3 linked regions of the Xenopus tropicalis genome follow. The protein of the gene in region 1 interacts with the protein of each later gene in a pairwise test. Links are inferred from orthologs where the notes say so. Each region holds a gene or a part of one and is shown on either strand. Other genes may lie near its edges.

Region 1 (3,655 bases):
ATTGAGTGCTATTCTGATACCTACTGGGAGCTGCTATCTTGCTCCCTTCCAATTGTTCTCAGCAGTAAAGTGTGACTGAAGTTTATCAGAGCACAGGTCACATGTTTGTGGCACCCTGGAAAATGAATATGGCTAGCCCCATGTGAAATTTCAAAATTAAATGGAAAAATTTTTTTGGAAAAAAAACATGTTTTCCTATGACAGTATTCCTTAAAGTAAATGTTCTCATACCCACCACAATAACATTCAGTTCACACTAAATGAATATAATATAGCCAACCTGCTTGAGCACTCTCTGTATGGCTTCCTCCTCAGTTTCCTCATCGCTGTCAGGCAGTTTATAGCTGTCTATAGTAACTGCAAACAAAGCATATTGTAGCAGTGACAGAATATAGTTTGTAGTATAAACATACAGAAGAACAAAAATCTGTTGTATTTGTACACTAGTAGTCCATAAAGTGGTATCTTCATTCATTTTACACAGAGAATAAGACATAATAGGAATAACTCCTTTCTTTGGGGCTTGATACTAACCAACTAATAAACAGCATGGTCAGGTCTTTATTATAGTTATGCCCTCACCATCATCACCTTTTTCTCTTATAAGGTTTTTCCTCTTTACAGTACTTCTAGGGTTAGGAATATTCCAATATAAAGCACTGTTTGATAATCTGCAATCCAGCTGTGTTAAAACTACAACTTCCAGCATTCCCTGGTATCTGTAGTTTTAATGAAAAGAGAAAAGATATAAATTCTCTATATCAAGATATAGTGTAATTTAAGTCTTCGGCAAATCCTAGTGTTTTTCTGCCTCTATAACATTTCAGCTCGGTGGGAGGCCGGCAAAACGCTCAGAATTGTCCCTCAGTTCGTTTTAATGATAATAAGCTGGACCGTGCCAACCCAACAATTTCTAGTTATGCTTTTTTTTCAGTCCTCTCTGGGATTGGTTTTGACTGTGCAAACCCCAATCAAATAAGCTATGCCCTCTGAGACAAATTAAAGATGGATCTATTTGGCTAAAGCTGATAAATGCAAAAATGAATAGCTGCTACCACACTCCTGTGGGTTTCATTGCCAGCACGTAACACTTCCTTAAATCATCTTTACAGTATTATCAAGCATTGGGCATAATTGAATACAGTCTCCCAAAGAATAATAAGGTCACTAATTCTGAAACAAAAGGTTGCCATGCAAAAAGCAGAACTGGGAAATACACGCACCAGTGGGGTGGTTGGCAGGATAACAGCCAGTAACAAAAAAAAAAAAAAAAAAAAGGATTCATTGGACTAGATATATTTCATTCATATATTTAAACCCATTACATGGAAAAATATTGCTTTTAAAACCTAAGAACAAACCTGGGCACAAATAATTTCCTTTGTCAACCCTAGATGTTTACGGTACAATTAAAACTCTTCAGTACTTCAAAATCTATCCAATATCAAATCAGAATAATAAAATATGGTGAAATGAAAATCTTTATGCCTTCCTATTATCCAAGTTGCAGGACCGTAAAGAAACAAATAAGGAACACTACAACCTTTTTTTATTCTCACTATGGTTTCCTTTTAAACAGCTGTCAGCATATAGATGAGATCAGCAGCCATGGTGCTGCCCATACATTTGTCTTTCAAAGCTTAAAGCTGGCCATACATGGGCAGATTCGCTCGCTTGGCGATGTCGCCAAGCGAGCGGATCTTCACCCGATATCCCCACCTACGGGTGGGCGATATCGGGTAGAAAGTAGCTTTAAAAAAAAATAATCCGATTGTTTGGCCCTGGGGCCAAACGATCGGATTACATTTGCAGCCATGGGGCAGTCGGTTCGGGGACCGCATCAACGAGCCGACGCGGTCCCCGATCCGACTGGATTTTCTAACCTGGCAGATCGATATCTGGCCAATTTCAGGCCAGATATCGGTCGGCCAGGCCCCTCGTTTCTGCCCCTACACGGGCCGATAAGCTGCCGAGTCGGTCCAATGGACCGATATCGGTAACTTCTATCGGCCCGTGTATGGGGGCCTTTACTCTTTTCAATTTTTGGCCTGACATTTCTATTTAGGATCATGCGAGTCATAAATCCTTATAATGTGGGTACTGGCCAATAAGGAATTCTGTGTCAAACAGCAGTTGGTCTAGTTAGTATATATATACCTTTGTCTGGGTCTTTGCCTTGTAGCACAGCCAGCCGTTTGGCTGTCTCCAAGAACTTTTCTGCCCTTGTGTTCTCATCTTTTAGCTCTGCTGCAGCTTGTGACAGGATTTTGTTCTTCTCTTCCTCAAGTTGTGCAGGATCCATTTCTGCCCAGCTGTCCTTCCCATCTACTCTATTTAGGTCATTCTTAGGTGCAGCACTAAAGTCTAAGGGTTAAATGGGAAATAAAAAGAAGTACTAAATGGGTAAGTAAAAGAAGTACTTACCAGAAAAAGCATATATCAAGTCATACACATTTGAGAGTTAAAGCCATACCTGACTTACAGTAAATGCAATAAAATGTCCTATTTAGTGAATAGCATGTTTCATCATGCCATATGGCTTATGTCACACAAGGAGTTAATAAACTGCTAATTAAAGCTAACAAGAAATAAGGTTCTTTGTATTCCATGGGTTAAGTAGACTACTACGATCCCACAAGAAACATTGAAACCTATTTTCCTACCTACAAAATTGACCAGTAACAAGTGGCAACTACTGATAATTGTGACATGAGCCAATGAATGTGTATTGCAGTTAATCAACAAGTAGATCAATATTTTGCTGACTTAACTACCACAGAAGATTGAACATATTTTATTGCCCCTCACAGAAGAATAATAAGAATATATTAACAGAAAAAAACACCTGTTACAGCTTTAGCCTCTTCTGTGAGTGCTGCTAGTGTTACAATGTAGGTGTCAGTTACCTTGTGACTGAGGAGCTTCCTCACAGTTTTGATCAATGGCCACCTCTTCGTTCAGCTGAGTCAGCAAGTCCTCAGCCCTTTGGCCCTGTGTTCTGGTGTCAGGTGGCTGGTGAACCTAGAAAACAGGTAGTTAAAATGTATCAATCCCAAGTACCAATGCAACAATGTCGTCTCAATGTTTTTTTCTTATAAAGGTTTATTGACACAAAGGGGCACACTTACTAACCCACGAACGGGCCGAATGCGTCCGATTGCGTTTTTTTCGTAATGATCGGTAATTTTGCGATTTTTTCGGCGTCTTTACGATTTTTGCGTAAAAACGCGAGTTTTTCGGCGTCTTTACGATTTTTGCGTAAAAACGCGAGTTTTTCGGCGTCTTTACGATTTTTTGCGTAAAAACGCGTGTTTTTCGTAGCCATTACGAAAGTTGCGCAAAGTCGTGATTTTTTCGTAGCGTTAAAACTTGCGCAAAAATCGTAAAGACGCCAAAAAAATCGTGTTTTTACGCAAAAATCGTAAAGACGCCGAAAAAATCGCAAAAAATACGAAAAAGTCACAAAATGTTCGTTTCCAATCGGAATTTTTCCAATTCGGATTCGAAATCGTGTCTTAGTAAATCAGCCCCTAAGTATAATTATTTAAAGAGACATGTACTTGAATAAACAAATGAATATGTTTTTTTACACCTATACCCCCTGATACCTGTCTTATTTAACATATATGTATTCAAGAGTGTAACACTGAATCCC
Region 2 (3,755 bases), about 40 Mb from region 1:
TAGTCTTTGTAGGCTGGTCTAATTTTTCTTATCATAAAGGATCCAGAAAAAAAAAATAATTGTGACAGCACAAATGTGATCTATCCTGCAACCTAGAGTGGAAGTGGACACGGTGGTGCTAAAAAGATTTTTCTTTAGGGCTTTTAGAAAAAAAGAAACTATTTTTCAGAATATACTGAAAATATTTTGCCTTCAATGTTTTACATATTTAATTAAATGACATGAAGTATAACTTTAAAGAACAAATAAAACTAAATTCACCAGGGGTGAATTCACTGTTCCAGTGAATCCAGTTGCTACGTTTTTCCCTCGGATTGCTAGACTTATACCTGCACATGCAGGGTCGGACTGGGCTGCCAGGACACTGGAAAAATACTTGGTGGGCCCCAGCGGCCCAGACTCGATCCTGTTTCTGCTTCCCCTGCCCACCGATGTCCTCCCCTGATGCATTGTACATACGCTTAATCAGGGGATGACGTCAGGTGGGGGAGGGTTAGGGGTGTGCGGCGGGGGCCCCTGCAGGGGATGTGGCCGGCGGAGGTACCTTGGGGGGTGCAGGGCCCCTGGGCAGTAGCCCCTGCACCCCCCAGTATGACCCTATGCATATGCAAAATCAACTAACATTCTTCCTATTCTAATAAATTACAAATGCCCAAATATAGATCTGCGAGAGGGGAGCTTGGGAAGTAAAATGGCACTGCAGTACAGTACTCCATTAGAAATTACTTTTTTTTTTTTTTTCCTTCATAGGAGTGCAGGCTCGGGGAGTATTTATTAACATCAGAGACAAACATTACCAGCAGGGTCGGACTGGGACTGGGACACCAGGAAAAATCCGGCGCTCCCCCTACTGACTGTACCTCCCCTGACGCGTTCAATTTATACATGCTCAGGGAGGATGTCAGGTGGGGGCCCTGCAGGGGGGTTAGGGGACGCGACTGGCTGGGGCACCTGCAGGAGCCCCAGTGGGCACTGCACCCACCAGTCCAACCCTGATCACCAGTGATATTGCCCATAGCAACCGGATGACATTGATGCACTGATGACATCTGTATCAAATGTTAATAACTACACCCATAGGTGACTGAATTCACTGGGAGGTGCACCCTAGGTGAAATTAGCTTTCCTTGTCCTTAAAGGTCACCTTTATATATTTAAAAATTGTTAAATTTGTGTTTTTATCATTTTGTTGCTTAAAGCAGAAGAAAGGGAAAATCACTGGGAGTGCCAGGGGGCACCCACCAGTGACTGTAATGGCTTACTTTTTATCCCAGGCTGGTGCTCCTGTTAGGAGAAAAGCATACCAGCCCGGGGTAGCTGTGAGCCAGCCATTCTCGTTCTTTTCTTGCTGCTTGCGCACAAGCAGTAGAGTAAAAAGCTGAACTAACAAAAAATCCAGCTTTTTCACTCTGCTGCGTATGCGTGGCACTCCCAGTGATTTTTAGCTTTTCTTCTCCTTTAATTTACCTATTACAGGTATGGGATCCCGTATCCAGAAACCTTTTACCCAGAAAGTTCTGAATTACAGCAAGCCCATCTCCAATAGACTCTATTAAAAGCAAATAATTCTAAAAAATTATTTTCTTTTTCTCAGTAATGAAAATAGTACCTTGTACTTGATCCCAACTAAGATAAAATTAAGCCTTATTGGAGGCAAAACAAGCCTATTGGGTTTATTCAATGCTTAAATTATTTTTAGCAGATTTAAGTTATGGAGATCCAAATTACAGAAAGATCCCTTATCCGGAAAACCCCAGGTCCTGAGCATACTGAATAACCGGTCCCATACCTGTATTATGTTATAGGATGGCCTATCCTTAGAAACTTTTTAACCAGTCTTTCAATTTTTTGGATTATGTACAATTCTCTTCTGCCGCTTTTCAGCTTTAATACAGAGTTTTGGTTGCGGGGCTTAGTGTGCCCTATTTTAAATGATTTCACTTCTATTCAGGTACTTTTCTTTTATATTGCACTCTCTCATTCAATCAACTGCTGGTGGCTAGTGTAAACAGGTGCCTAGTAACCATATTGCTGCCGACATTTCAAACTGGACAGCTGCTAAATACAAAACTTACAAATAAAAAGACCTGCATATTTTCTCAGAATTTTCCACTCTAAAACATAAGTTCATGTAAAAAATCTTGGCGTCACTGGCAAACATTTGTGTTTTGCTTACCTGCTACTACTGAGTGAATATAGGCTTGAAGTCTCTATTTCCCAACAGATCTTAATAACAATCTCGCCACTCAAGAGCATACATCTATGGATAGCATGGTAATAACAACCCGACCCATGACTGTGATGGAACTATAATACATTCCTCTGTACGCTTTCCCTTCTGCGATCAACAAATTTCGCGGCTTTAAGCCCGGGAACCAATCCCCTATCCTACTGCAGCCGTATAACTAACACCATTCCAAACAGAACTACAACAAATCCTTCCTCCTGGCAACCTTCTTTTACCCACTCACTGTTCGTATTTGTTTGTTTCCAATAAAGTTAAGCAAGATATATTTGCGTAGCTGCTATCCAATCATAAGCACAGAGGAAACTAAGCCGCCAATCATAGAAGACACGAAGTCTCTTTCGCGAGAGTTTGGCTGGTAAAAAAAAACAGGCGCGGAGAGCTCTTAACCAATCAGTATAAAGTGAGTAAAACTGTTGTCGGCTAGGTACAGTGTTTTTTTGCCAGACAGTTCGTTTGTAGGCGTGGTTACAAGGAGGTGGGTGTCAACCTATGGGCGATAACGCGCCAAATTTCAAAGGCGCGCTTCCTTCCTCTGATTTCCCGCCGTGGTCCCGGTCAGAGTTGGGCTCAGCTGGTAGCGGCGGCTCGGTGGGAACCGTGACGTCACGCACTCAGTCTCCCCCGCTATATTGCGACTCCCATGGGAAGTAATTGCTAGGGGGAGATTTGTGCATGAAGAGTACATCTACTGTAATAGTGTGGGATGCAAACTATATTGAGGTCTGCAGTGTTAGGTTAGGCAGCCTTAGTCGGTCTAGTTTCTGTTCTGTACAAGGGCATTGTGTTGCTGATAGAATTAGGTGAGATGGTTCTTCTGTGCGAGGTTTAGGGCTGCTATTAAGTATTAGTGTGCTGCACTGCGACAAAGAGCTCCACCTAAACTTATAAATAAAATCTATATATTTAGACTAGCAGGGACAGTATTTCATTGTGGGTAAGGGACTCCATTAAGGTAGTGGGAAAAAGGTGGGTTGGTCAGAAAATTGGCAGGCTGCCATGGTAGGGTCAGAAGTTGTGCTTACACAGGTACAGCCCTGTTTCCAGCTTTTGCGCATGGGCTCAAGCCCAGGACAGTCAAGCATAAATGCAAATAGCACAGCGTCCAGAGATTTGTATACTTTCCTGCCAGACTCGCCATGCTGCATCTACCGACTGGGAGCCCAGCATGATTTATGTGATGTCCCCCTCCCTGGAAAACCTGCTGTCCATGCAAAAATACATGCAGAGCGGGAGCTCTCAGGAGACTGGAAGGTTAACTTGGAAAGCTGCACTCACTTTGGTAAGTTTGTAGCCAAATAGTTCAGGATATGTAGAGATTTCATCACTCTTATCTGGTGAACAACTATTTCTTAGGTATGCCCAGGCTCTCTTTGTTTTGGGCTCATTGTACTCCACCTATCGCCCTTTATGTTTGTTATCCCAAGCCAATGCTCACACACCCTACTTAGCTGTGTTGGTAACCCTGTGAAACATACAGCGCTGCTCACAAGCCCACAGAGTGCTCTCA
Region 3 (3,755 bases), on another chromosome or scaffold:
AATTATTTAAAACCCTTACACATGGGACCTGATTCATGCACTTCGATGAAGTGTCTTTTTTATGTGACAATGCTGTAATATCCCAACCACCACGCTGGAGTTAAAACCTGATAACTGACTTTGGAGGAAAAAAATGGCTAAAAATATGTCTCTTACATTCCCAAAAGGCAGCAGAAGTTTTTATACCATTAAACTCATTGCAAAACAAAGAACCATTATTTAAATTTTTAAATTTTGAGTTTTTAAGGACAGAGCAGCTTTATGCGCATGCTCGGCCACACACATTCACAACTGGCAATGCTGCCAGCTGATGATGTAGGGACAGGGTATGCGCAGTAGCACTGAAAGATGCCAGGTCCTTACAGAAGATTCTTAGATTCTTACTGCTGTTAGTCTCTACATTTACATGGTGGAAAAGGGGATAGACCAGTGATTATTAACCAGTGGCTCATGAGCAACATGTTGCTCACCAGTCCCTTGGATGTTGCTCCCAGTGGCCCCAAAGGAGGCTTTTGGGCAAGTTTTGGTTGCATAAAAACCAGGTGTACTGTAGCCCCAGGAACATTTTTAATGCTTATGTTGCTCTCCAACTCTTTTTACATTTGAATGTGCCTCACAGGTAAGAGTTTAGTTTAAGTTATTAAACTAAATGAAAAAGATCCGTTTTTGATTTATTTTACTTTATAGCATACATGGCCTGACAAGAGGAGGTAAGACAACCTCAACATTTATCTTTTGATTGAATAAGTGGCAAACATTATGATGTGATTTTCTGTGCTCATTTAGTACTGGTTTACTAATAGAAATTCCCTTATATGCCTGCATGTACTTTACTTTCATTCGTTTCTGAAACTACTGAGGTGGTACTGCTACTTGACTATACGTAATCTTACAAAAAAAAAAAAAAAAGTTTCATTTTTCTCATAGGGCTAATTTGCTGTGTCATATGGCCAGTGGCCCCCACTTACCTTTTTCACTTATACATGTACAGTTCTACAGCTTCTGTATTTGTCTGGTACAGGACATGAACCACCCAGTGCAAGGTATTGTGTATACACTAAGTTCAGTATGCAATGTAATTAGCTAACTTAAAAAAACCCTAGTGGGCTTATTTATCAATTTTTTATTTTGTAAATTCAAGTATGTTTTCAAGTTGAATTATTTACCTTCCTCTTTCCAGCTTTCAAATGGGGGTCACTGACCCCAGCAGCCAAAAAACTATTGCTCTGTGAGGCTACAATTTTATTATTGTGGTTGCTTTTTATTACTTATCTTTCTATTGAGCCCCTCTACTATTCATATGTTTATCAATCTCCCAAACCACTTCCTAATTGCTAAATAGGGACCCTAGCAACCAGAAAAATGCTGAAATTTCAAACTGGGAAACAGGAAAAATTGGGGAAAAAAAAGTTAAATAATTCAAAAGCTACCAGTAATAAAAAATGAAGACCAACTGCAAATTGTCTCAGAATAGCACTTTACATCATACTAAAAGTTAACCCAAAGCTGAACAACGACTTTCACAATGCCCTTTAGTTTTACAGTTATAGGAATATGTATAAGGACCTGTACACACTCAATTTACATTCAGTAGGGAAGCCTAACCCATATATTGAGACCTCCTGTGCAACATCAACGTTTTGGGGGTTGCACCCTGAATGCACTTAGATAAAAAAGGGTGTATATTTTCACTTCAAGGGTAAACAGAACCCACATAGAATGTTTTAATTAAGTGACTTCAGGTATCTTAACAACATGTTAAATATCAAAAAGTAGTTTCCTCTCCATGTGATAGGTCGGATATAATGCTCCATTCTAATCCAAGTAACAATCTGGTGAATTTGGGATCAAATGTTTTGGTTCACACACAGGTGTAGCCGCAGCCACTTAAATCAGCTTACAGGTGAACAACCCAAATAAATAATAATGACATATATTACATTACAAGCAAATCAATGTCACGTCAGTCATGTGCATCTGATGAAATTCACCAACACAAATGACCAATGTAAAGTGTTCGACTACAATATGTCCCTTATGTACCTGTGCGCACATGTACTGGGTATTGAAGTCATATTTGGAATAACATCTTGTACTGTCCACACATATCACGCCCCAAATATAACAAGATGACACTTGATCTCATCAAAAATATATTACGTTTCCCTTGTTACCTGTAGATTTGTCCCGTTGGCAGCCATAGATTATATGGTTTTCATCCGGAAAACGCGGGCGTTTCTATATATCAACCTGCCTCGTTCACCTCCGTCTTTCGGGATACGTGGTAACTAAGTTTAAACGCCAAAGCCCCGATAGCGTTCGATCTTCCGGGTACTCAAAATGATCGGGAGTCGTCTCACTTCCGTATTACGGACATGCTTCCGGGTACGTCACGAAAACAGCAACCAATCATCTACCCAGAAGAGGTTTATCGTGACGTTAAAGCCGCACCTCGATTGATTTAGGTACTTACGATGTAGGTTTCGACCGAAGGATGCTGGTGCGCAAGCGCAAGGAGTAGGGTGGTTGCTGACAGATCAGCAGCAAATGTAGTCATTGTACTTATGACTCACCGGCACCTGACTTTATTGGTTTCTAAATGATAAAGGTTGGTTGCGGGGAACTGACACAACACTGAATAGGCTTTAGCCTGACCTTTGTGAGTAAGTTATTTCCAGTCCCGTCAAAAGATATATTGGCCATCGTGGCTTATTAAGGTTTATGGTCTCGAACTAATAAATTCACCACAAAGGAGTAGTTGACCATATATTAAATATAAGTATAATGTAGTGGGATTCTAAGACAATATGCAACTGGTCTTCATTCAAAGAAATTCATAGAAAAAATCCTGAATAGAAATGCTAAATAATACAAAGTAGCATTAAAATTGTAGGTACTGTGGTAAAGAACAATGTCCCATTCGTTTTTTGTAACAACAAAAAATAGGAACATGTTTCTTTTAATTCATAGAATAGAATTGTAGGGACCCATAAGGTTAATATGCCCCTATGGCTTTAAACCCTACAACCTCTTAGTTGCTGTTACTGGGCAAAGACCCATCTATCTAGTTTGTCCTTTGCCTTATTGGTTATTTGGTTGACCACTCCCTTTGCACTCTCATTTAGTGTTTAGCTAAGGGGTGTGTCTTCCTCTTTTGCTGCATCTGTTGACTCAGGTGGAAGTTCCTCTGAGCCTGGAATCAACAGGGCTCTAGTAAAGCCAGCCTACCCTAGAGAATCCATTTTATCTCTAGAGAAGTCTGGGAAAGGGACCCCATGAATGAGAAATAGCAATTATAGAAGAACCCCTTAATATCACCCTCTAGGAGAGTGAGATAGTAAGCTAAGATAGTAGGAGCAAGTTCTGGCTCCAACCAGGAGGTTAGCTGGGAGTACCCTTTCATACAGGCACTGTTGCCTATTGTCCCCTGTCAGTTTTGCATATGTGCCCCTGTTTAATATAGGGTATGAACTAGTTTGTTCTTAAAAGGAAATATTAATTCTTATCTGGTGGGCTGTATTTAGATCCTGTGCCACTCTAGGCACTGGATCTTATCACTCCCCAATTTCTCGGCACTTCCAACTGACATCACCCTCTACTATACCCCCCCACTCCACCCTCCACCACCAGATCTGCACAAGTATCATCTGGCAGCGGCTAGAGAGGTTATTTTTTATTATATAGGCACCATAGGGTGCCTATATTTTAATATGGCCCTGCCCTGCTTGTAACGAGAACTGCACTATGGATCCCTG

What was found. The genes of interacting proteins can lie anywhere in the genome.
Region 2: the proteins of zfyve19 (region 1) and cchcr1 interact in binary tests that used the Homo sapiens proteins (3 or more experiments, as listed by UniProt). The link is inferred for Xenopus tropicalis from reciprocal best matches to the Homo sapiens genes ZFYVE19 and CCHCR1.
Region 3: the proteins of zfyve19 (region 1) and vps4b interact in binary tests that used the Homo sapiens proteins (3 or more experiments, as listed by UniProt). The two-hybrid records come from large-scale screens. The link is inferred for Xenopus tropicalis from reciprocal best matches to the Homo sapiens genes ZFYVE19 and VPS4B.

What each region holds. Positions count from the first base shown.
Region 1 is NC_030684.2:115,170,606-115,174,260, reverse strand, and holds part of zfyve19 (abscission/NoCut checkpoint regulator), read right to left. Parts: intron 3,022-3,655; coding exon 2,907-3,021; intron 2,365-2,906; coding exon 2,158-2,364; intron 358-2,157; coding exon 281-357; intron 1-280. UniProt on the Homo sapiens protein: Key regulator of abscission step in cytokinesis: part of the cytokinesis checkpoint, a process required to delay abscission to prevent both premature resolution of intercellular chromosome bridges and accumulation of DNA damage.
Region 2 is NC_030684.2:75,143,617-75,147,371, reverse strand, and holds the start of cchcr1 (coiled-coil alpha-helical rod protein 1), read right to left. Parts: upstream 2,558-3,755; 5' UTR 2,177-2,557; intron 1-2,176. Other genes in the region: tcf19 (transcription factor 19), read left to right, coding at 3,245-3,527. UniProt on the Homo sapiens protein: May be a regulator of keratinocyte proliferation or differentiation.
Region 3 is NC_030682.2:85,893,086-85,896,840, forward strand, and holds the start of vps4b (vacuolar protein sorting-associated protein 4B), read right to left. Parts: upstream 2,352-3,755; 5' UTR 2,202-2,351; coding exon 2,175-2,201; intron 1-2,174.